3 linked regions of the Arabidopsis thaliana genome follow. The protein of the gene in region 3 purifies or fractionates together with the protein of the main gene of each other region. This does not show direct contact. Each region holds a gene or a part of one and is shown on either strand. Other genes may lie near its edges. The genes, in order: EMB2770, AT5G22320 and AT1G71350.

What was found.
Region 1: the proteins of AT1G71350 (region 3) and EMB2770 fractionate together in Arabidopsis thaliana (co-fractionation; one large-scale study listed by BioGRID). This does not show direct contact.
Region 2: the proteins of AT1G71350 (region 3) and AT5G22320 fractionate together in Arabidopsis thaliana (co-fractionation; one large-scale study listed by BioGRID). This does not show direct contact.

Annotation. Positions count from the first base shown.
Region 1 is NC_003075.7:1,514,499-1,523,543, forward strand, and holds EMB2770 (pre-mRNA splicing factor-like protein), read right to left. Parts: upstream 6,066-9,045; 5' UTR 6,003-6,065; coding exon 2,913-6,002; 3' UTR 2,715-2,912; exon of another isoform or gene 2,627-2,714; 3' UTR 1,532-2,626; downstream 1-1,531. UniProt on the Arabidopsis thaliana protein: Pre-mRNA splicing factor required for splicing and for the turnover of unstable transcripts. May be a U5 snRNP-associated protein involved in the formation of U4/U6-U5 tri-snRNP. Involved in responses to abiotic stresses.
Region 2 is NC_003076.8:7,386,128-7,392,967, forward strand, and holds AT5G22320 (Leucine-rich repeat (LRR) family protein), read right to left. Parts: upstream 4,487-6,840; 5' UTR 4,300-4,486; coding exon 4,201-4,299; intron 4,121-4,200; coding exon 4,049-4,120; intron 3,943-4,048; coding exon 3,850-3,942; intron 3,703-3,849; coding exon 3,621-3,702; intron 3,540-3,620; coding exon 3,483-3,539; intron 3,391-3,482; coding exon 3,326-3,390; intron 3,253-3,325; coding exon 3,157-3,252; intron 3,053-3,156; coding exon 2,966-3,052; intron 2,852-2,965; coding exon 2,771-2,851; intron 2,675-2,770; coding exon 2,048-2,674; 3' UTR 1,877-2,047; downstream 1-1,876. Other genes in the region: RIN1 (P-loop containing nucleoside triphosphate hydrolases superfamily protein), read right to left, coding at 4,899-4,988, 5,079-5,148, 5,231-5,322, 5,401-5,500, 5,592-5,698, 5,795-5,860, 5,946-6,080, 6,238-6,393 and 1 more.
Region 3 is NC_003070.9:26,886,768-26,893,931, reverse strand, and holds AT1G71350 (eukaryotic translation initiation factor SUI1 family protein), read left to right. Parts: upstream 1-2,647; 5' UTR 2,648-2,722; coding exon 2,723-2,857; intron 2,858-3,003; coding exon 3,004-3,306; intron 3,307-3,389; coding exon 3,390-3,484; intron 3,485-3,570; coding exon 3,571-3,951; intron 3,952-4,153; coding exon 4,154-4,262; intron 4,263-4,542; coding exon 4,543-5,191; intron 5,192-5,285; coding exon 5,286-5,407; 3' UTR 5,408-5,564; downstream 5,565-7,164. Other genes in the region: AT1G71360 (Galactose-binding protein), read left to right, coding at 91-1,718; GDPD4 (PLC-like phosphodiesterases superfamily protein), read left to right, coding at 6,611-6,877, 6,964-7,061.

The sequences.
Region 1 (9,045 bases), on a different chromosome or scaffold from region 3:
GCAGTATTCTGAAAAAGCTTACAGCTATAGCTAAGAGCTATTAGTTACCAATATTGTAAAAGGTATAAATTGTTGATTTATTCTGAAAATTATAATTTTTTATAAGATTTTTGTATATTTGAATATCGATTTAAAATTTAGAAAATTAGAATTAAATAGATTAACAAAATTGAAAAGACTTGTTATAAAATGGAAAAGAAAAGTGGGACCTCTGAAGACAAAAATGTCAAACATGTGACGGAGAAAAATCAAAGAACGTGGACCTTAGATTAGATTTGTAAATTGACTTGATGGAGTGTTCAGTGTTTGGTCCCTCCACCGATTTTTCTAGACACCTTCTAACTCTTTTTTGTTTACTTAAATGGAATGAATCATTTCCTAACAAATTATTTAAGTGGTCGGCACATTTCATTTTCGCGTAATAAATAGTGTACATTAATTTCAGACCAAAAATATATTACTATTATCATTACTTGCAAACAGAAACAATCTAAGAAAGTGATGTTTTTGGGTTTCTTCTCGACCTGAATTCACGTTGTCGATGTGCTGAGGACTGGATTTTCCGTTGTTTATTTGACGTCGACCAGTTTTTTTGCTTTATTTTTACACTTCATATTAGGGGGCGGGCATTCGGGTAAAGCGGGTCGGGTTCGGGTAAAATCCGATCGGGTATGCGTCTTTCAAGTAGAGAAGTTTAGGAGTTAATAGGGTAAATCTAAAATATCGGTTCGGTTTCGGTTCGGATCCAATCGGGTTCGCATGGGTTCATGTATAGATTTTTGGAGCCTCTTTTGGAACCTATACCCGAATTTTCGGGTAAATAGCCAGATTTTTTGGTAAAATTTTGGGTATCGAATAAAATTCAGATTTTCGATTAAAATATTCGGATATTTTCGGGTTCGGATTCGGTTTTTCGGGTAAAAAAATATAGGATTCAATAGAATAATTCTTCGGGTTTGGGTTCGAATCAGATCAAATTTTTCAGATCGATTTTGGTTCGGTTCATCGGTTCCGGTTTTTTTGCCCGCCCTTACTTCATATCTAATTAATTTTATATACAATGTAATTAATCTGTTAGCAGTAAAGAGTAAGTACTGACTTAGAGGAAATGATCACATGTGCATTTTGCACAGATTCCGTAACAAAACTTACCTATATTTTACGACTCAAGAACATTAAACAGAACCAAAACAACATCTTATATTAAAAAAAAAAAACGTTAAACCAACTACACTTGAATTTCTTTTTATTCTTCATCATAAATGAATTGGATTGTTGGGCCAATTAAATACATTATCGTGTTCGGCTACCGATCACAGTTTTATGTAACACTCACGAGGAGATATGATTTGTTTAAGAAGATGGTTTAGATGATGTCTTATCTAATTAACATCAACTATAAACCTCTAACCATACCACAGAAATAACAAGAGCACAAAAGTCTAACATATAAGATATTTTGATAAAGTAATTAAAATGTTCAACAACCAACTAGGCACGGACATTTGATGGTACCAAAGTCAAATATGCGGTTCGTATATATCCACTTACTTTATATTTTGCTATTTAGCTCCACATTCGCATTATACATTTAACCAACGATAACGTTATCTATTTGTGTTAATCTTTTGGAAAAAATGTTAACGAACATGTTCTTGTCCCCATCATCATATGATGATGATTGCAAACCTAATATTGCATTTTTATTTTATTTTGCCTTTTGTTATGTTTTTTGGTAGCACTTTTGGGTCCATATTTTGGACACGTTGTCGCCATGTGTTCTCCAAAAGAACAATACATAATAAATTTGGATAATGGTATAACTAGTCTTTAGAAACTAGATATAGATGAGGTGATTAGTTGTGATATGCTAATTGCTAAATACAGCCTATTGTGGTCCGCTTTTGGTAAACCAAACAGATTGTCTTTGATTTGGTCCTCTTTTTTTTTTTTTTTAGTGCGGTCTGTTCTGATCGGAGTTGATCCTGATTATGGCAGTCACAATGTTCTGAGGGAACTTCCTCAACGCCAATTATTATACACTTGAAAGCTGACCAAATACTGGAAATGCAGGAGTTTCACAGACGGCCATCACGAGGAAACTGGTCTCACTTTCAGTTCTCTCTTATCTTCGGTTGAATCGAAACTAATGGACTGTCCACACAATATATCCTGTTGTTTCTCATGCCTCACCAGAGGTACTCGGCAAAAGACTAGAACAAATCAACCTTTGTACTTGCAAACTAGTTTTACCCAACAATAAAACAAATTGCAGTGTTACCACAGGATGAGAGCGACCAAAAGGTTCTCAAAGTCAAGGGTCTACTGAAGATAGGAAAACAAGTCGCCTTTGTTTGAGAATCAGCTCTCCAAAAGAAGGCAAATAAACTAGTTGGTTGATTTTAACAGGCAAGAGGTTTATTAGTATTAAGGCTAAAAAGGTTACCAATATCTTCTTCTAAGAATTACTATCACAGCTAGTGTTAATGGACAAAGAACTCTAAAAACTGTGTCAGGGGTTAGTTTTCTTACACTGTCTAAAGAAGCGTTGGGAGTGTGGGTTTCATGACTTGCCCACGCACCAATCTTAGTCACCAGGCAGACAAAAGCTCCCTAAGGATGAAGGCTAAGGCATGAAACGAACAACAAATGATCAGTTATACAAATAACAAAAGAAGTTTAATAGCTGAACACTGCAGCACACAGAGACTCACAAAGAAAACTGAAGCATTTAGTAAACTGAGAATTCTACATGTATCTGGTGAAACACTCCTGTAAATCAATATCAGGTCTCGCTACTGAAGAAAAACATGAATGGTTAAAAGTTGAGCCTGCAAAGAGAAAACAAGAACTAAGGTGTAATGTGCTATGAGCAGAGCTTGATCATGAAAAACATAAGAAAATTGATACTCTCAAGCAGAATTCTCTTCCTTGCTCAACGCATTCACAACTCTCTTCAAGATAACTTCAATAGGCTGGTGAGCATTTTCAACCGCTTTGGAGATGGCTTGCCATTTCTCGCCATGCTTCGGCTCACAAGCTACACACTTCGCCACAACTTCCTTCCTGTCCTCATCAGAGCCATGTTGAAGTTCAAATTTGTAGAACAACGCCCAGAAATCGCCAATATCTGGGCCAACGGTAACAGCACGTTCAAACCATGCTCTGGCTTTCTCCACCTTCTTGTCTTGCCAAAAGAGCTTGGCAACAGCTATGGTGACATGAGGGTCGCGATCACACTTCTTCATAGCATCAATACTCTTTGTTTTCCGTCGAGGACGTGGCGCCATCTCAATGTCCGCAGCCCAGAGGATACCACTCTTGGGACAGTCTTGCAGAGCCTTTGACATCAAGTGCTCTGCTTCTCTCTTGTTGTCATGCCTCAGTTCAGCGCGAATAGCAGCTAACCATAGCTCAGCCCCCCCAGGATTCTTCTTCCTGGCCGTGGTGAGAATAGCCCGAGCTTTGTTTAGCCCATTCACTTTCTCTTCAAGATCAGCGAGTGAGAGCCACAGTGGTATGCAGTGGGGACAGTGCTTCAAACCAGTGTCATAAGCTTTCCTGGCCTGTTCTAGATGCTTGAACCGTTCCTCGAGCTGCCCAAGCATTAACCAAAGCTTGAAGAATGTTGGGAATTGCTTCAAACCTTCATTAAGCAATCTCCTCTCCTCCTCTACGTTGCCAAGTTCTCTCTCAACAATGGCTGATTTCATCCAGACCCTTTCAGTCCCTCCTCTTTCCCTTGCTTTTGCAAGCAGCATTCTTGCCCTCTCCGGCTCCTTGTTCTCAAACTCAAGCTTGAAAGCAGCAAGCCAGATTTCCTCAGAGTTGGGAATTGCAGCATAAGCCTCTTGTAGAATAGCACGGGCTGCTGGAACATCTCCAGCGAGCCACTTCTCTTTGGCACCCATGAGCCAGAGAACCTCAGCTTGCGGGACATATGTTACAGCCTTACGCAACAAGGCATCAAGGGACTCCCGACTCCCATGGCTCTTCTCAAGCTGCGCCGCTTTAAGCCAGATACTTTTCTTGGTCAAGAATACACTAAGAGCATGGGCGTATATTGCTCTTGCGGTCTCAATGGAACCCCTCTTCTTGCACTCATCTGCATCAGCAACCCAAGTTCTCTTTCTATCCTCTTCTTCCACTCCAATACCTATTGTGTTCTTAATAATGGCCTGGCATGTAGCGACAGATCCAACTCTCTCACATGCCTCAGCCTCACTCATCCAATTTTCTCGGTCAATAACAACCCCTTCTCTCTGGAGAGTCTTTATACCCCTATCAATAATCTTTCCCACCATAGCCGTGTTATCATTAGCTTCATCTAGCTTCCCATTAGCTTCTTCTAACTTAGCAGCGGTGATCCAAATTGCAGGCTCCTTTGGGAGCTTCTCTCTCGCTTTGTTCAACACCTTCTTTGATTCAGCATATGTTTCGAGCCTCGCAAGTGCCACCCATAGCTCCAGATGCAAAGGGCAGCACTCCACAGCCCTGTGAAGCAAAATCCTTGCATCCTCCTCATTAGCCAACTCAACAACAGCCTTCCATAGTCTTACAGAGTCTGGAATATGTTCCAGTCCCTTTCTCAACACCCTACTCTTGTTCTCCACATCATGCTCCAGCTTTGCAGCCTCCAACCATAGCTTCACTGAATTGGGTATCAGCTTAACTCCCTTCGCAATAACCCCCTTGGCATCTTCTGGATTAGCTAACCTACAAGCTTCAAGCCAAACATCCTCATTTTTCGGGCACTCTTCGCAGCCCCTCTGAATCTGAAACCTAGCTGCTTTAATCTTCCCATCCACCTCCTCCACTCTAGCAGCAGCAATCCAGCCATTTGGATTCTTTGGATTCGACTGGGTCAGACTCTTGTATAACAATCTAGCTCTATTGCGATCGTATATCTCTTCATCAGTGGTTCTTTTCATACTCTTCAGGTCAGTTAAGTAGCCTTTAGGATCCACTACAGTTTGCCCCGAAACTGAATCTGATAGGTTATCAAGCTTCAGAGACAACACCGTACCTCTTCCCTCACCGACAGCAGTCAAGTCTGTCACCGGCGTCTGCCCCCATGGTGTCTCCGACCCACCAGCGGCTCTGCTCTTTGGGTCTAAGGCCATGACAAGCTCCTTTTCTTTCTTCGCCTTCTCCAAAAGCGTATCAGGAATAGGCACAAAGCTCTCAAACTTCTTCTTCTTGTTCCTCAGCGAGTAATCCCCAATCTCAGGAATACTATCCCACTCATCCGCAGACAAAGTGTGTAATTTCCTCTTCAAATCCGCAAACTGCTCAGTAATCTTAGGGTTCGAGGCTCGGTATTTCTCGATTTCTTCCTTCAGCTTCGCTTCTCTCCGATCTTTCCTCCTCGAATCCATCCTCTGATCAATAGACTCCCAGATGGCATCAGCCTCTTTATCATCCTCATCGTACTCAGCATTAGCGAACAAACCAACATCATTCCCTTCAAACTCATCAAACGTCTGATTCTCATCGTACCTTTTCTCCTCAGCTTCTTCATCGTCCTCCGCTTCCGCTTCACTTGGCTTCCCTGCTCCACGACCTACTCCTGGAGCAGCCGCTGTAGCCAAAGCAGACCGATCAGGAAGATCCGGAGCAGCACGAGCAGGACCAATATCAGATCGAGTAGTAAACCCAGTAGCACCACGACCCAAACCCGCTACATAATTTGACGGAGGCTTAGAATTGAGGAAATCAAGACGAGGCTTCGGCGGAGCCGCTTGCATACCACCCAAAAGCAGGACATGGATAATCACAGTAGAGAAACGAGAAACACCGAGATCGGACAATAAGATCGAATCGGAATCCTTTGAATCTACAAACACGCGGCTAGGGTTTCGCATACGGAGAGAGTAACGAAGGAAAGATTGTGGAACATCACTACGTTGGTGGGCCAATTGTTCGAAGGCGGAGATGGTGGTTGAATTAGGGTTCACGTCGATCGATAAAGTCTTCCCGTTTGGAATCGAGAGAAACACCATCGTAACCTAATCGAGATTCTCCGGTCAAAGAAACCAAACTATAAAAATCTCTGCTGTTACAACGAATATAAAGGGTGGAAAAAAAATAGTCGGTTCAGAGGTAAAGGCGGTGGGATATGTAGTGGGCTTTTTAATGGGCTTTTTGAACTTCATATTGTAAAACCACCGTTAGTATAATTCGAGCTTTTCATAAAGCGACACCGTATATGACTATCTCTGTGTGTTTTGGTTTTAAACGACGTCGTTTGCATGGCTTTGGGAAAAAAATTAAATGACTAAATATTGCGGTGAGCGTGGATCGAACACGCGACCTTCAGATCTTCAGTCTGACGCTCTCCCAACTGAGCTATCCCCGCTTCATGTAACACAATCAATGAGTAAAAGATATATAGAAAGAAAATAAAAACGAAAAGACAACGTAATGCGGTGAGCGTGGATCGAGATCTTCAGTCTGACGCTCTCCCAACTGAGCTATCCCCGCTTACTGACTCTTTCCAAACCAACGTAATAAATTACTAGTTATGAAAACAACAACTGAATCAAATAGATAAGAAGACATCCTTTCGTCTTTTTTGTTTCAATCACACGGACCAGAGCCAGAGGTGTGATATGTTTCAGCATCTTCTTCATCAACAAACCATAATAGCATTCGGAGAGGATATCCGTTGCCCAGTGACAACGACCAAAGCCAGGAATATATGGGACAGTGTAATAGGCAAGAAGAAAATAGAGCACAAAATAAAATACGCGCTGAATATCTATATATACATTTTTGCAGCAATTTTGTGAAATAAATCTTATAGTTGGGACTTATTTACAATAGCTGCCACTGGATTTTAATGTTTGTTTTTGATAATTAGAAAAAAAATCTTCAAATTAAATATTTGACATTTAACAATCTTCCCTAAATCTCTCCACATTAACTACACGATTAGTTACTAAAATAAAACTTTCAAAATATTTAATATCATTTATTTACTACAAAATTATCATTTTTGATATTGTTTTTCTCCATGACTATAACAATTTAATTATAATCGTCAAATCGCAGAGATATTTGATAGCATTTAATTATTACAAAATTACAAAATATTTAGACAATAATTCATAAACATATCATAAATAAGATTAACATTAATAAAATAAATGTTTTTTTTATGGGACGGGTTGGCGGGACGGGTTTGGCAGGACGTTACTTAATAACAATTGTAAACTATAAAATAAAAATATTTATAGATAGATACAATTTGCAAACTTTTATGTATACTAACTTTAAAAAATAAATTGTTTCCGCGGTGTACCGCGGGTTAAAATCTAGTATTTAGTGAAGAACGAAAAAAAATAACTAGTATATCACTTGTTGTAGCGAGCACGCCAAAATAGAATGCGACCTACATGGAGTTTAGAGCCAAAGACAGAAATGGAAAGGCAAACTGAAAGGCTTTGTGGCCGAGTTCTGGATCACCCAGCAAAGCCCAAATAAGAACAAGTATTGCTACAATAAGTTAACCAACAACCAAGTCCTGAACTGCTTAGCCGCCTCTAAGAACATAGCTCAAGATTAAAAAGAAATGGCAAGCCAAGAACATAGACTACCTCAAAACCAGGTATGAGCTGGAAACAAACCAAAAGTCTGACAATTTACATGGCACGAGATTTTCCTTAATAAAACAAGAAGCTGGAAATTGACTTAGTGCAGATTCTTTTAGTCATTGTTGCTGTTGTGAGTTGTGACCAGCGGCCGAAAGCGAAAGGAAATGGTGGCAGCAAAAGATGTGTTGAAGTGAGGGTTGGGTAAAAAAAACTTAGGTACTGAAATAATGATCACCAGCAAAACAACAAGAGGTCATTTTGACTATCTGTCAACTACAATCACAGTGATCAAACTGGACCTAGCTAATTATGATACAATCTGTATGTGTCTCTTGGGAATCAAACCTCAGTTTGATCGACAAAGCATCAAAATGAAGCACTTTTTTCTTTAAATAGAGAAACAGGACAATTCAACCCAAAGTGCGGAAATAAAATGAAACAGAATTGCATATATAACAACAACGGAATCAAACACTTACATTTCCCACTATTTGTTGCAATGCAAAGAACGTTCTAACCAAGCTTGTTAAGCAGGTGTTTTGAATCTGGACAATGTTTTAGAGTCTCTTTGACAATTCTGATATGGCCATTCGTTGCTGCCAAATGAGTGGAAAGGGTCCATCATTGTTTCACACGTAAACACTCTTCGTTAATCGTACTAACAGGTTACATACTCCTTTATAAAACCCTATGGATGCTCCAATTGAAAGAGAATTTATCCCTTCTTCACATCACTCATCCCCAAGACTTGGATCTGTATAAATTAGCCCACATGCAAATATTTAGTCTTCTGTCCCAAACTAGTCAAACAAACTAAACAGAGCTACTAATTGGTAAGAAGCAAAACAAACTTCTACTCTTGGCCTTCAAAGCCACGTGTACAAAATCAAAGTTCGTCTTTCTTCCTTCATTGCTTGTAGTTCTCAACTTTGATACCACGAGTGGGACATTGCCAGCTTCCACTGCCAAATACAAGGGAGATATTCCAACTTTACTCGCAAGAAATGAAGCACATTGGTTCACATTTACCAGACATGCAGCTATCTCCACATGGCGACCTGTCAAGGCCAAATGCATAGCAGTATCTCCGTCCTTCAGATCATATAGATTCAGTCTCAACCTCTCTAAAACAGAATAGCTGAAGATATGATATTGATGTTGCAACAAACGCTTCGATAATAGCTAAGTGGCCAGCAACATGGTTTGGAGAGCCATTCTTGATATATAATACTACAATTTCTTCCACAAACCCCCTTCTTATATCGAGTCAACAAAAGATGTCGTCCCCAAATACCGTATCAGAATACAAAAATACCAAGCTCGAAGACAATATTAGCGGACACATGCTTTGTTTACTCGACATTGTAAGGGGCTTAATGCATGAAAAAGAAGTATTGTATATTAAGAATGTGTTGATAAAATGACGAAGCTGATACCAAGTAGCTGTTCA
Region 2 (6,840 bases), on a different chromosome or scaffold from region 3:
AACTTGCCAAAAGTCGAACAGAACACGGGTTTAGGTCACAATTTAACCTCGTTTGATCGGATTAAGACCCGACTCATTTCGTTTTTGATTAGTATTTTTTTTTTGGGAAATAATATGAACGTCAAAAGAGTTAAAGACAACGTACTACGTACTACTATAAAGTAGCATTGTTTTCAACAAACATGAATATGGGTGACATATTTTGAAATAAATGAATATGCATAGACAAGGCAAGATACATGAGCCAAGAAAGTATACTCCTTTTTTCTTATGTTTTAGGAAAAAAAATTGTATTGAATTAGATGATGTTTTTTTATTTTTAATGCAAAATTGATTAGTTTTTATTGATTTTGACGATTTATATCATGCAGATTGTTCAATTATGATTGAATAGTGTTTAGAAAGATAATATATAGTATTTTTGTTTAAATGCGAATATTTGTTATACACAATCCAAAAACACAAACAGAAATATAATTATTATAAATCATTTTCGTTTAGGATTGAATAGTTCTTCATTTTATGTTTTAGGATTGTGTTTATAAACTTATGGCTTTTGTCTAGAGAGGTAGGTATTAAGATCAATACACTAAAATTTTACAGACAGTTGTTATAAGTTATTGGAATTGTCGCACATCGAAACTTTGACAATTTTGACACTAATATATATAGTAGATGTTCAATCATTGCTAAAAATCTCTCATTAAACAATCATAGTTACACAATGAATACATGGTTTTAGATTTTTGGATTCATAAAAAAAAATATTGCTGCTCTAAAACATATAGGATTTTTTGAATGTAAATCAGACATAAAATTTCCTAGATGCCTTAACGATTACTACTATCCAATCATAATTCACAACTCAAAACCAATGATTGTCTCTATACTAATTTGAACACAAGTTTTGTGATTGGCATATGAATTATGAAAGACAGGCACATGCTGAGTACAAATAATAGTAAATACTTATGGAACATCCCAAAGAGATAGATGCCTTCTCTGCCAGTCAAATCAAATCCATCCTCCAGATTCTTTTAACTCCATTACAAATAATTTAACATATTACTAATTTAAAAATAAATTAATACGAGTAAAAAAGAATTTTAAAATGTGTGAAGACTAGAGAAGTGCCACGATGATAGAAGAAAAATACAACATAGATGAACGGTTCAGATTAAAAAGAGTTCTAGTCTGTTTCTCTTTTATTCCTTTGAGTCTTTGACTACTACTCACATATCACATGGAGAATTTGACAAAAATGTCATATCACTATACTTTTATTCAATATACTAACTACTCTTGCAGCAGCAATCTAAACTCTACTTTAAAAACGACGTTCTTTTTTGTCAAATAAGCTAAACTAAAAAAATATCGTTTACAATATACAATACATACTATGGGTAATTACATACATTCAATACGGGTAGATACGGACATTTTGAACTAGCAAATCGGTTTTAACATTAGCATTACAAAACAAACATAGGAAACAAAAGAAGATGACAAAAATTTCTAACTCTTCTCTACGTCTTCATAATATATCACAAATGTAGACCACATTTACACCTAATCGGAATAGTCTGCACTAAAATTAATTTAGTTTTCTTTTCTGAAATCAAAATTCAAACTTCTCATTGTCCAAACTAGTGTTTCCACATTTTTCCTAGCATTTAGCTTGTATCATTTTATTTCTCTTTTTTATTACACACTAGAAACTAACACAATAAAAATAACAAATATTAAAGCGTGAATAGAATGGTCCCATGGTCTAGTGGTCAGGACATTGGACTCTGAATCCAGTAACCCGAGTTCAAGTCTCGGTGGGACCTATTCTCCTTTTTTTGTTTTGGTTTCAATGACACAAACATTTTATAAAATTAGATATAGCTTCTCAACAGTGCAGAAAACAATTTATAAAGAAGATCGAAACCACTTTCTTCCTCTCCTATGTTCTTTAACCATATCAAAATACTCCCTAGCCGTTGGATGTTACAGACATAACTGTCCCTTCTTTTAAAGAGTAAAACACTCCCTCTGTTGCAGTTTACTCCCACTTAGACTCTCCTCCTAACCCGATCTCAACCTCCATGGGAAGATCAATCACTACACTCTTGCTTTGCTTCTTTTCACTCTTCTTCTTCTTCTTGTTAGCTTTAGTATCTATCACTTTTACTAAACCTGTCTCTTGGACGCTGCTTTTCTTCTTCTTCTCAATACCGTCTTCAGAACCCTTTGGCACATTTTCCCGGGAAAAGATTTCTGCGAAAGAGGTTTCAGCATCATCTATAGCATCGAGTTCCTCCTTTGGAGTAGCCCTTTTCTGTTTCTTCTCAGCATCATCATCATCATCATTGTTACTTGGGATTGTCTTCTCTTTATGTTCTTCTTTCTTTTTTGTTTCAACTTGATCTACATTTGTGTTGCTCTTAGACTTCTTCTTCTTGCTTTTGTGATCCTCATTGTTGACTTCTTCTTCTTCTGACTTATTTCTCTTAGAGCTCTTCTTGCGTTTTCGATCTTCTTTAGATTGTTCCTCTTCTGCTGATTTATTGTGATAGGCATCAAAGGTTTCATCATCGGTATCAAGCCGAATATGCTTTGCATTCCTTGAGCTTTTTTCTAAGGGTTGAGCGTTGAATACATTCACTGAAGGGAGAAGCAACGTTCTCACCTGCGACATCAAAACAATTTTCCTCATTCTTATACGATTTCTTCACGCAGTTACACTAATCACAATGGAAAAAAGAAGTAGAAAAAGTTGTTTTACCTTCTTAGCTGACTTATCGTTATCAGAAATCGGGTTTCCTCGAATATTCAGATTTCGCAAGCAAGATAGTGTACCCAAAACCTATCATTTGGGAGCACACAAATTTGATGGTTTATTACACGATCACCACAAAAACTTGCCACAAGCTAGGGAAGGCTAACAAATTTGCTTTCACCTATATGAATTAGACTATACCTCTAAACCAGAGAGTTGCGTAATCACATTGTTTCCCACATCCAAATTGAGTAGTCTTTTGTTGACTGCTAGTTCTGCTGGGAGAGCCTGAACAGTTAAGCGTAAATGAAATAACGATTAGCAATATAAACAAAAGATTGTGAGAAGAGGCAGGTTTGTTCTGTAGATTGCATAAATGTAAGAAAGATCACCTTGATTTCATTGTTCGCGAGCCGCAGCTCTTTCAAATCAGAGCATGACTTGAGAGAAGAGCCAATAGCTTTTATTCTGCAGTCAGACAAAGAAATCTGAAACCGAGATGGGATTAGACAAGGATCAGTTTAGTTGTGATTCCGAAACGGGAGGAAAACAAGAGCTTACTTTGGAGAGGTTTTTCAACTTTGAAAGTGAGTCACCTATTTCACTGATTGGGTTCCTAGAAAGAACTGCATGAATGAATCCATACACATTTAAGTAGAATGAAATTAGGTGTAACATCTAAACAGTAACATGTTGATTTTGATGTAAAAGAACATACCGAGACTGTTCAAGTCTTTGAGTAAATCAAGCTTGCAAATGGAGGAGATTTCATTGTCTACAACAAGTGAAACAATAACGAGTAAGTAATCAAACAGTAGCTTGTGGATGCAAAGACATAAAACCGTTGACAACTTACCATTCAAGATCAAGGCCCGTAAATTGACAAGAGAAGAGATCTCATTCATGGATTTGAGCTTATTCTTTCCAGCATTAAGCACCTGATAGAAAACAACATCACACAGTCAAATAAAGCACACATATTAACTCGTTTTCTGTCAAAACAAAGCTTAATCCTGGAGAACCTCACTATTGGTAAGTGATACAAATCTCAAAGAAACAAGCTCAGTGATATCAGTGGAACTAACCGTAAGCTTAGTGAGTGCTTCAATTCCATTTAAGCTTTGCAATTTGTTTTCCACAACTGAAAGCCATTTCAAGTTCACACAAGACTTGAGTCCCTAAAAACCAATTAACACATCAACATATAATAAGCTCTAGCAACTTAAAAATCAAAACTTTGGATGCTATTTATGCTTATAAAATGAGATTTATGTATCAATCAACCTGAAGATCTGTTAGATTGTTGAAACGAAGATCAAGCTTTTCCAAGTTTTTGAACTTGCTCAAACAAGACACCTAAATATACAATTAAACAATTAGGGTTTCGTATCAATTTCTACTTGGGAACAGAGTTTCAGAACAGAAACAATACTCACGTCGGTGAGAGCTTTATGGCCGAGATTAAGTTCCTTGACGGAATCTGGGTCATTGGTCTTCTTCTCTTTCAATACTTGTTCAACGGTTAACGAATTCATCGCCGTCTTCGTCTTCTTCCTTGTCACACAAAACCCTAGTCTTTTGGTTTCACCTTATTCAAAAGATTGTCTCTGTTCCCAACCGTGATAAGTCTTTACCCAAAAACCCCACAGTTTTCTATTGTTTATACATTTGACCTTGTTATTATTGTACGGATCAGGGACACCCTCTTATGGTACTCCTCCCACTTTGATCCTCAAGTTTTATAATCTCCGACTCTGCTGACTCTGTTCTGATAATAGAGTTTTTTTTCTTTCTTTTTGGCGCAACATCAACTTTTAACAGTAACCAAATAGACAATTACACAATGTTATGTTCCACAAACAGTTTGATCTTGAATAAGTGTATTGTAATGTAACAAGGGAACTCAATATGAAACCAAAAGTTTGAATCTCACGACCATGTATGTGTATACACGTGAAACCATATTTCAGTTTTCATTAGTTAGCACCACAAACAAAAAAATAGCACATAAATAAATGAATTCAGAGAAACCAAATTGTAATCCCATTAGACATTCTCCATATTCCGACATTACAAAATAAAACGACAGAAAAATTATGAGATGTTTCAACAAAATGTGCGATTAGTGTTCTTCTCATGAGATGTATTTTTCTTGTTGCTCATGCAAAAGCTTTGCTGAAGATTTAGCATCCAAGTAGAGTGATGTTACTTCCTCTATATCAGCCTGTCAAAATTTAAGATGAAGGATTAATAACATAACATCCACATATTTTACATTTGTTTTATTGTTCTAAGATTTCACAAGTAAATCTACCTTGCAAATATTGTCACGGCCATTCATTTTCGCTACAATGCTGGCAGGAGACAGAAGCTGCACAGCGTGCCTGAGAGTGAAAGCACAAAAAAGGTTTTAGTATTTAGATTCACGAACAGAAATTTTGCTTAGAAAAGCAATGATGACAGTACCTTAGTGAAGTTCTTTGCCCAATCTCCCCAAGTAGAACCAAGCATTCTTCATCCACGGTTAATTCTTCAACTTGCGCACGAATGGCTATAATCTGTGAACAAAATGATAAATCTATTAGAATGTTGTTCGTAGTAATTGAAATCCAAAAGCTAAATGACAATTGAGTAACCTGGATCATTTCAGAGGGATCATAGATTTGAGTCCGGATGATAACCAATCGATCTAATAGATCAATAGGGACTCCATGGGGGCTGGGCATATCAGTCCCTCTGCAAATAAAGTAAATCACAGTACCAAGTTAACAAAAACTCACAAGATTTCCAAAGGAAAATGTCTATCAAGGTCTAGCGCTCTTCTCACCTTACGTTGCAAACACCTCTATTTGTTGCAAATATCACTATCGGAGATAATGAGCTCTCAAGAGCACGGTTCAAGTATGAGAAGCACTCCATATCAAGCATATGAACCTGAGGTTTTATAATTAAACAAAGGTATTCTTACTGCTCCTGAGTCCTGAGCAAGATCAATAGTGGAATGAAAAAAAACTTTATTTGGGAAAATACCTCATCAATAAATAGAACTCCTGGAACAAGCTCTGCCACACCTTCATCTATATATCGGTTCACAACCTACAATGGCATATAAAAATATTAGACCTTGCAAAAGAGAAAGTAAGATGCTTAAAAAAATCACCCATGTACTAGCGAAAATCACCTTGTTAATTTCTTGCCGAAGCTTATCAGTGATCTCAGTCTTCCGCGGTTTCATCATTTGGCCCATCAAAGAAAGTATATCCTGGCCACCTTGAGGTCGAGCATTTGCTGCATCCAGATCTTGGAGTGTGACATCCTATCAGTCAAAAGTATATGGTCTAGTTGAGTAACAAGTAGTCTTAATAAACTTAGGAACTAAGGTTAATACACATACAAACTAATACATAACAGATAATAAATCAACAAAGAAAATAATTACTCTACACAGAAGGGAGAGGTCAAAGAAGGTAAACCTGCACTATCTCTTTCTTTTTGTGGACCTCTCCTTTGGGAAGTGGAACATATTCTTCTGCTTCCAGATCAAATTCAGTGGCAAAAGCATCACTTCTACCTACCCGTTTGACAGCTCCACTGTTTGCTTCGATATAGATTACATCTCCTACAGCTACCTGAGAGGCAAACAGCAAAAATATAAAAAGAAACCAATCAGAATGACAAAGTAATCAGCAAATTCATACACAATTGTCCCCACAGAATGACATCGTTAGAAAACCAAAAAGGTGAAAAGAAAAGCAGGTTTTGGAACAAACTGAAAAGCAAAAACTTAGGGGAAAATACCACATCCAAAGCATAGCATCGCATGCCAAGAACTGACCTTTTCCTTAATCAAGGCATCATAGATAGTGGGATCCAATTTCAGATGTTTGGTTCCTTTGACTGTCTTGAGTGTAATTACAACATGGCTGATGCTTTTACCATAACCTCCAGTGAGGCTTTCAGTTTCTTCTGGTGACAGCTCGGTGACCTAGAACACAAGGACAACATGTCAAAAACCAATTAGCGAGACATGCTATTGCATAAGAACACAGCAAAAGAAACCGCAAATAGCAACACAC
Region 3 (7,164 bases):
AGTAATATACGCTCTTAGAGATATGACAATCATGAAGATGTATAGACCATATCTTAAGTGTATCTAAGGCTTACTCTTGGGCATTTGCAGGTAGATCTTTAGTGGATTCAGTTGAAAAAGGTGAACCGGATGATGAAAGGGCAGATGAGACAGCTGAGTCTGTTGATGCAACATCACTAGAGTCTACCTCTGTTCATTCTAATCCTGGATTGAGTTCGGATGTTGATATAGCTGCAGCCGGAGAAAGTAAAGGCTCAGAAACCATCTTGAAGCAATTAGAAGTCGATAACACAATCGTTATCGTAGGAAATGTTACAGAAAGCAAAGACAACGTGCCTATGAAGCAAAGTGAGATAAATAATAACACAGTTCCAGGGAATGATACAGAGACCACTGGTTCAAAGCTTGATCAGCTATCTCGTGCTGTTCCGCTTGGCCTTGATGAGTTCAAGAGCAGAGCGTCCAATTCTAGAGACAAATCTTTGTCAGGCCAAGTAACTGGCGTTATTCATAGGATGGAGCCTGGTGGGAAAGAGTACAATTATGCAGCTGCTTCAAAAGGTGCAAAGGTCTTATCTTCTAACAAGGAAGCAAAAGGAGCTTCAAGCATCATATGCCGGGACAAAGACAAGTATCTCCGAAACCCGTGTTCTACTGAAGGGAAGTTCGTTGTCATAGAACTTTCAGAAGAAACGTTGGTGAACACAATCAAGATTGCAAATTTCGAGCATTACTCTTCCAATCTGAAGGATTTTGAGATTTTGGGGACCTTGGTTTACCCAACTGATACGTGGGTTCATCTAGGGAATTTCACGGCTTTAAACATGAAGCACGAGCAGAACTTTACATTTGCAGATCCCAAATGGGTGAGATATCTAAAGCTAAACTTGCTAAGCCATTACGGTTCAGAATTCTACTGCACCTTGAGTTTACTAGAAGTCTATGGAGTGGACGCTGTGGAGCGAATGCTGGAGGATTTGATATCTATCCAAGACAAGAACATATTGAAACTCCAAGAAGGAGACACTGAGCAGAAAGAGAAGAAGACAATGCAAGCAAAAGAGTCCTTCGAAAGCGATGAAGACAAGAGTAAACAGAAGGAGAAGGAACAAGAAGCCTCACCAGAGAATGCGGTTGTGAAAGATGAAGTATCACTTGAGAAAAGAAAGCTGCCAGATCCGGTGGAAGAGATAAAACATCAACCAGGAAGCAGAATGCCGGGGGACACTGTCTTGAAGATACTGATGCAGAAGATAAGGTCGCTGGACGTGAGCTTATCAGTTCTTGAGAGTTACTTGGAGGAACGGAGCTTGAAATACGGGATGATATTCAAGGAGATGGACCTGGAGGCGAGCAAGAGAGAGAAGGAGGTGGAGACTATGAGACTAGAGGTAGAAGGAATGAAGGAGAGGGAAGAGAATACGAAGAAAGAGGCGATGGAGATGAGAAAGTGGCGGATGAGAGTGGAGACAGAGCTTGAGAAGGCTGAGAATGAGAAAGAGAAAGTGAAGGAGAGGTTAGAGCAAGTGTTGGAAAGACTGGAGTGGATGGAGAAGAAAGGTGTGGTTGTGTTCACAATCTGTGTCGGGTTTGGGACTATAGCAGTTGTAGCCGTGGTTTTTGGTATGGGGATAGTTCGAGCAGAGAAGCAAGGTGGCTTGGCTTGGCTTCTGTTATTGATAAGCTCCACATTCGTTATGTTCATTTTGTCACTTTGATGAGAGAAGAGTTCTCAGTTTTGGTCTTTCTTTTTGTTTTCTAGTTTTTTTCTTACTGTAGAGTTAGCTGAGTCTTCTTTATACCCAATAAAACTATAGAAGTTACCTAGATAAGTTATGATGTGCCTATGAGGTTTCAAATACAAGAGTTTTGTCCGGTTCAATGGAAAAAACTCTTATCAAATCAAAGCTTATACGTAGAAAGAGTTTTCATTGCAGAAAGTTGATTTACAAACAAAACTATTATTCACAGAAAACATTTTCTTATGACCAAAATAATTATAAACATTTTCTTTCAATAATTAACCCTAGCTTCGTCATTGCCACAGAGCAAAGATAGTTTTAAAATTCGAATCCAATCAACCTCTTATACCAATCTCTCACATGTCATCTCCTACTCTTCATAGTTCATCCAAAGTGGGGTTATTTGTCAACGTAACTTCAGCATAAAACTGAGCTTTATACTAGAGAGAAATAAAGTTAGCTATAATCATTTATAAACTGAAGATTGATGGAGGTTTATTAATGGTTAATAAACCTTTCCAAAAATAGGCGTATGCCGCTAAGAACAGAGAAGACACGGTATTCTTTAGTAAAAGGCGAAAGAACAGTTCGCTTTGTCTTCACTGCACAGCTCCGTGACTCTTGAAGGCAAGCTCTCGATCTTTATTTATACTAAAGTTTACTCACTGTTCTCAAGAAATGAGCCGATGTGGGATAGTACAATCAATCAAATTAATTCATGGGTTATTAATAGCAGTATATGGGCCATATCTTGTTTATTTTTAAGCCCATCCCAAAGCCTGGAGGTTTCATCATCTTACAATTCTAGACTGGTTTTGGTGAACCGGTTTGATGAAATTAGAAATTACAATGCAAGAGACACGTGGCAGGCTTAGAAAAATAACCGAAAGCAAAAACAAAAAGGTTTAAGAGAGAGACGACACTAGTCTGGTTTTGGTTCGAGTCCCGCAGTGGTAAAGGGACGACTACAAGCGAACATAATGTTTAAGAAGGCGGTGGAGGCTAAGTCTCACCAGCGTCTCTCCGGCGCTGACCGGAAAAAACTCCGTCGCACCGTCCGAAATAGGCTTCCCCTTCTTACCGATGAACTCCTCGACGCAATTCTTCCTCCCAAGGTTTGATTTCTCTTTTCCCTCAATTTTTGGCATCGTTGTTTTCTCCATAGATTACTAGGTCTTTCTTCTTGTTGTGTAATCTGATTGATTCTAGATTAGATTGCATCGAGTATTGGCTTACTTCTGGCATTGATTGTTTTGTCTAGGTCGAGATTACACTTTCCAAGTTTCAGAATCGAGTTATTGTTTATAGTATTGAAGGTGGATGTCCCATGTTTTTCGATATCGATGGAAGAGGAACTGAGATTTTCCCCACAGTTTTTGCTCTGTGGGAGGCTCCTGAAATGTTACCTTCCTTTATGTTGAAAGGAGGTGAGGTTTCACGTTATATTATAGGCGGTGCAGATTTGATGTTCCCAGGTATTTTGATCCCTCCCCAAGGCTATCCTTCTTTCTCTGCTGGAGAAATATGGGCTGTCAAAGTTCCTGGAAATCTAGCACCTATTGCGGTAAGCTTTTTATGTCTTGTTAACTGATGAATCTTCTTAATGAATGTAAAGTTTGCGTATTGAGTTACATGATGTTTATGAAGGTTGGGTGTACCACAATGAGTAGTGAAGAAGCTCGTAAAGCAGGTTTACGTGGGAAGGCTTTAAGGATAACTCATTATTACCGTGACTTCCTATGGTACATGAGATGCTGGCAAAAGTTTTTTTATATTTTACATCTGTGGAGGAACTCTGTCTCTTACATACTGAATTTGTGTTTCTTAGGGAATCAGCTGAGGGGCATTATGTTCCAAATGCGGGGTTTATGGAGGATGTGGTCATGGAGGACCCATCGTACCTTGCTCCTGGTTCAGGTGAAGATATTTTAGACACTTCTGCAAGCACCGGAAATGAAGAAGATGAATCTGCTCTGGAAACAGCTTCAACATCGGCTGCGGATGCTAAGAATGATGCTGAAGTACATGTCGTTGGGAGCATGAATGAGCTATACTTGGTAGATGATGTATGTGCTACTGAAACTAATACCGACAAGCAGATTACTCTCTCCCCTGAGGAGGTAGATACCCTTCTTGACCAATGTCTTTTGCAAGCATTGCATACAACACTAAAGGAGAAAGACCTTCCCATCCCAGGAAGCACTCTATGGTAAGAACCGCATTCAGATACTTGACTTACTTTGAAAGCCACCTATATTCTGGTATTTGACTATGATTAGGTTGTTTTATTACGCTCTGAAGCTCTATTCTGTGTTACTCTTGACTTTGTCAATAACAAGCAAGACACCTTAAACCATTTTCTTTCTCCTTTCCACGTTTGACTGACATATATTTTTCTGTGAGTGGTGCAGGGCAAATCATGTATTACCTTGTAGGCCTTCTGGTCTCACACTTGACATTAAGAAGTCTTCCCATAAAAAGTTGTCAAAGTGGCTGCAATCTAAAGCGTCTGGTGGAATGGTCAGTTTTCATACGAATTTCCCTTGTCTTATGATACTTTTTTTGGCTTGATTTTATATTTTAGTAGATGTTGTTCGTAGATGTTTAACTGCAAAACCCAACTGGTTTATCAATATAGGAAACTATTAGTATCAAGTGTTGTAAGCTGTATCTCCTTAAAAGTATGTATGTAACACATTGGTATACATTTACCCTGATATACTCATAATTGCTAGTAGATTTACTCTGGTGTCTTGACTGGCAACTGCACTCTGTCACAATCTTTGAAATATATGCGCAGATATCTGTTAAGGAAGACAAGCATAAGAAGGAGATAGTATTGATTTCAGTCAACCGCAGCCACCCAGATTACAAATCCTTCAAGCCAGAGAAAAAGAAAGCGGAAGTCTCCGAGTCTCCTGGAGAGCGCTCCACGGCGCAAGCTCAGTCAGAGAAAGGGCTTGAAATTATAGAGGTCTATAAATCAAGCATACACAATAGTGCAATATTTGCATCAGTTGGGGAAGACAAAGGAAATCTGTACACAGCTTCTGAAGCCACTGACGTTGTGTTCAAATACATTGAGAAGGAAAATCTAGTAAAGCCAACAAACAAATCAATGGTGGTGTTGGATCCGATACTATGTGATGCATTGTTCAAAGGAGCTATCAAAAAGGGATCGGCATATCCGTCAGAGATCCACAAAAAGGATGTTGGGTCGACATTTGTAGGTAGAATGCAGCCTAATCACGTAGTGATGAGAGGAGGCGGTGAACCCGTGGTTCGTAAAGGAGCTGTAAAGCCGGTTCAGATAATGACAGAACGAAGACAAGGTAACAAAAAAGTGACCAAGGTCACAGGGATGGAGACGTTCTTGATAGACCCAGACTCGTTTGGATCAGAACTGCAGAAGAAGTTTGCTTGCAGTACTTCAGTTGGAGAACTTCCAGGTACGTTTAAAATCTATCCTTTTTGTTTTGTTCAGCTGTGTAAGTGAATTAACTATTTGAGAGATGATTGATTGTTTTGTGTGTTTGCTTTCAGGTAAGAAAGGGTACGAGGTTCTGATTCAAGGAGGTGTGATTGATAACCTTGCGAGATATATGGTGGAACACTATGGAGTTCCAAAGAGATACATCGAAGTTCTTGATAAGACTAGAAAGTGAATGGTTTTTTCTATTTCATTTTTTTTTTGTGTGTTTTAATCTTCTAATTTTATTTGATACGTACACTCTGTGACTCTAGAGATGTGGAACAAATGAGAATAAAATTGTTTTGTTATTAGTTTTTTTTTTAATATAACAAAAAAATTAAAGAAAATAATTTATAGTTTGATGGACTTTCTCTCTTTTGTGCAGTTGAGAAAATAAAAGGACTTTCTCTCTCTTCTCTCTCTAGATCTTTTAGAGAGAGGAAGTTTCTGATGCTCAAACTTGGCTCCGACAATAGCCAGCTTTTTTAGTGGTGTTGGTTGGCTTCCTTCTGGCGTCGTTAGCTCCTTTAGCAACGTCGGCTAGCTTTTCTCCGACATCGGTGGTTTCTTTAGCACCGTTGGTCGGCTTCGTTCTTCAAATTTAGTTTTTGCCTTTCAACCTTGTTCGATTCTATTTTGCTTCGGTTTTAATTGGTTTTGATTTCTCTTTCTCTTCATTTCGATCTAAATTTGTAATTTTTCGATCCTCCCTTCTTTAAGGGGCTTAATTTGTTCTTCAAGCTTATTGAGTTTTCATTTTAAAAGATCAAATTTTTAGTTACGGATTGAAGTTTAATTTAGTGTCTTTTGTTTGATTTTGATGAAATTAGAGCTGTTGTTTGTCTTTCTTGTTGCCGATGCTTGTTGAATCGTTTGGGTTTATGTTGTTTTTCCTTTAAATGGCAGAAGTCGAAGTCGATAGTTTGTGAGCTATTTCTTTCTTGAAGGTTTTAAATTTTACAGTCATTGTCACAGAAGATTTGTCAATTGTCTCATCGGATTTGTAGCTGCTTCCGATTTGGCGTTTACAGCAATTCCGGTGAACTTAAGTTTTTTGTGGTTATGATTCTCCACCTGCGACATTCTGCAACTCATCATTTTCTGTTTCCACGTGTCCTCTTTACCGTGTCTCTAGTGCCATGTGGGCTTTGACTTATTAGCACATTAGCTTTCTCTTCTTCAGAAGGTGGTCTTTGGGCTTTTGTCCGTTTATGGCCTGTTATATGGCTTTGTAAAATATGGCTTGTTAAAAGGCTTTGTAATATAAATAATAAAACAGTTGTGACAAAAAAAAAAAAATATATAGTTTGATGGTGATTGGTGAACTTCTTTTTTTTCCAAGATTGCAGTAAACGTCGTCTTTAGCTCCAAAAACAACCTTTGTCTTGTTCAGCTAATGGCGATTTTTGAATGGCGGCACAGAAGACGGCCATTCGACGGCGGAGGAACTCGTCGCCGTCGTTTCTTCAGCCCATTGTATTCGAGAAATTTCAAGAGAACGATTCTCTTCGCTGTGATTTTCTTAGCTATCTTCCCTCCTCTCTACTTCCATTTCAAGCTCCGACGAATTCGTCAGATTGTCGCGCAAAAGTGCGATTGGCTTCACCATCCTCCACTTGTCTGTGCTCACGGCGGCGATTCCACCCTCGCTTTCCCAAACACTGTACGTACACTCTCGATCTCTTCTTCTTCACACTCTTGCTACTAACCTTTTTAAACCTTAATCTCTTGGACTCTTCTCAATCGTAGATGGACGCTTACAGTTTCGCTATACGTTCTCGAGTTGATTGCATTGAAGTCGATGTTTCTCGTTCCTCCGATGGTGTTTTATTCGCTCTTCACAACAGGTTACAGACTCTGATCCTTGTTGTATCATCTTCTTCTAATGTTTCTGTGTTTGGATTCTCATCGGTGTTCTTCTTATTCATCTTCTGATCACACGCACAGTCA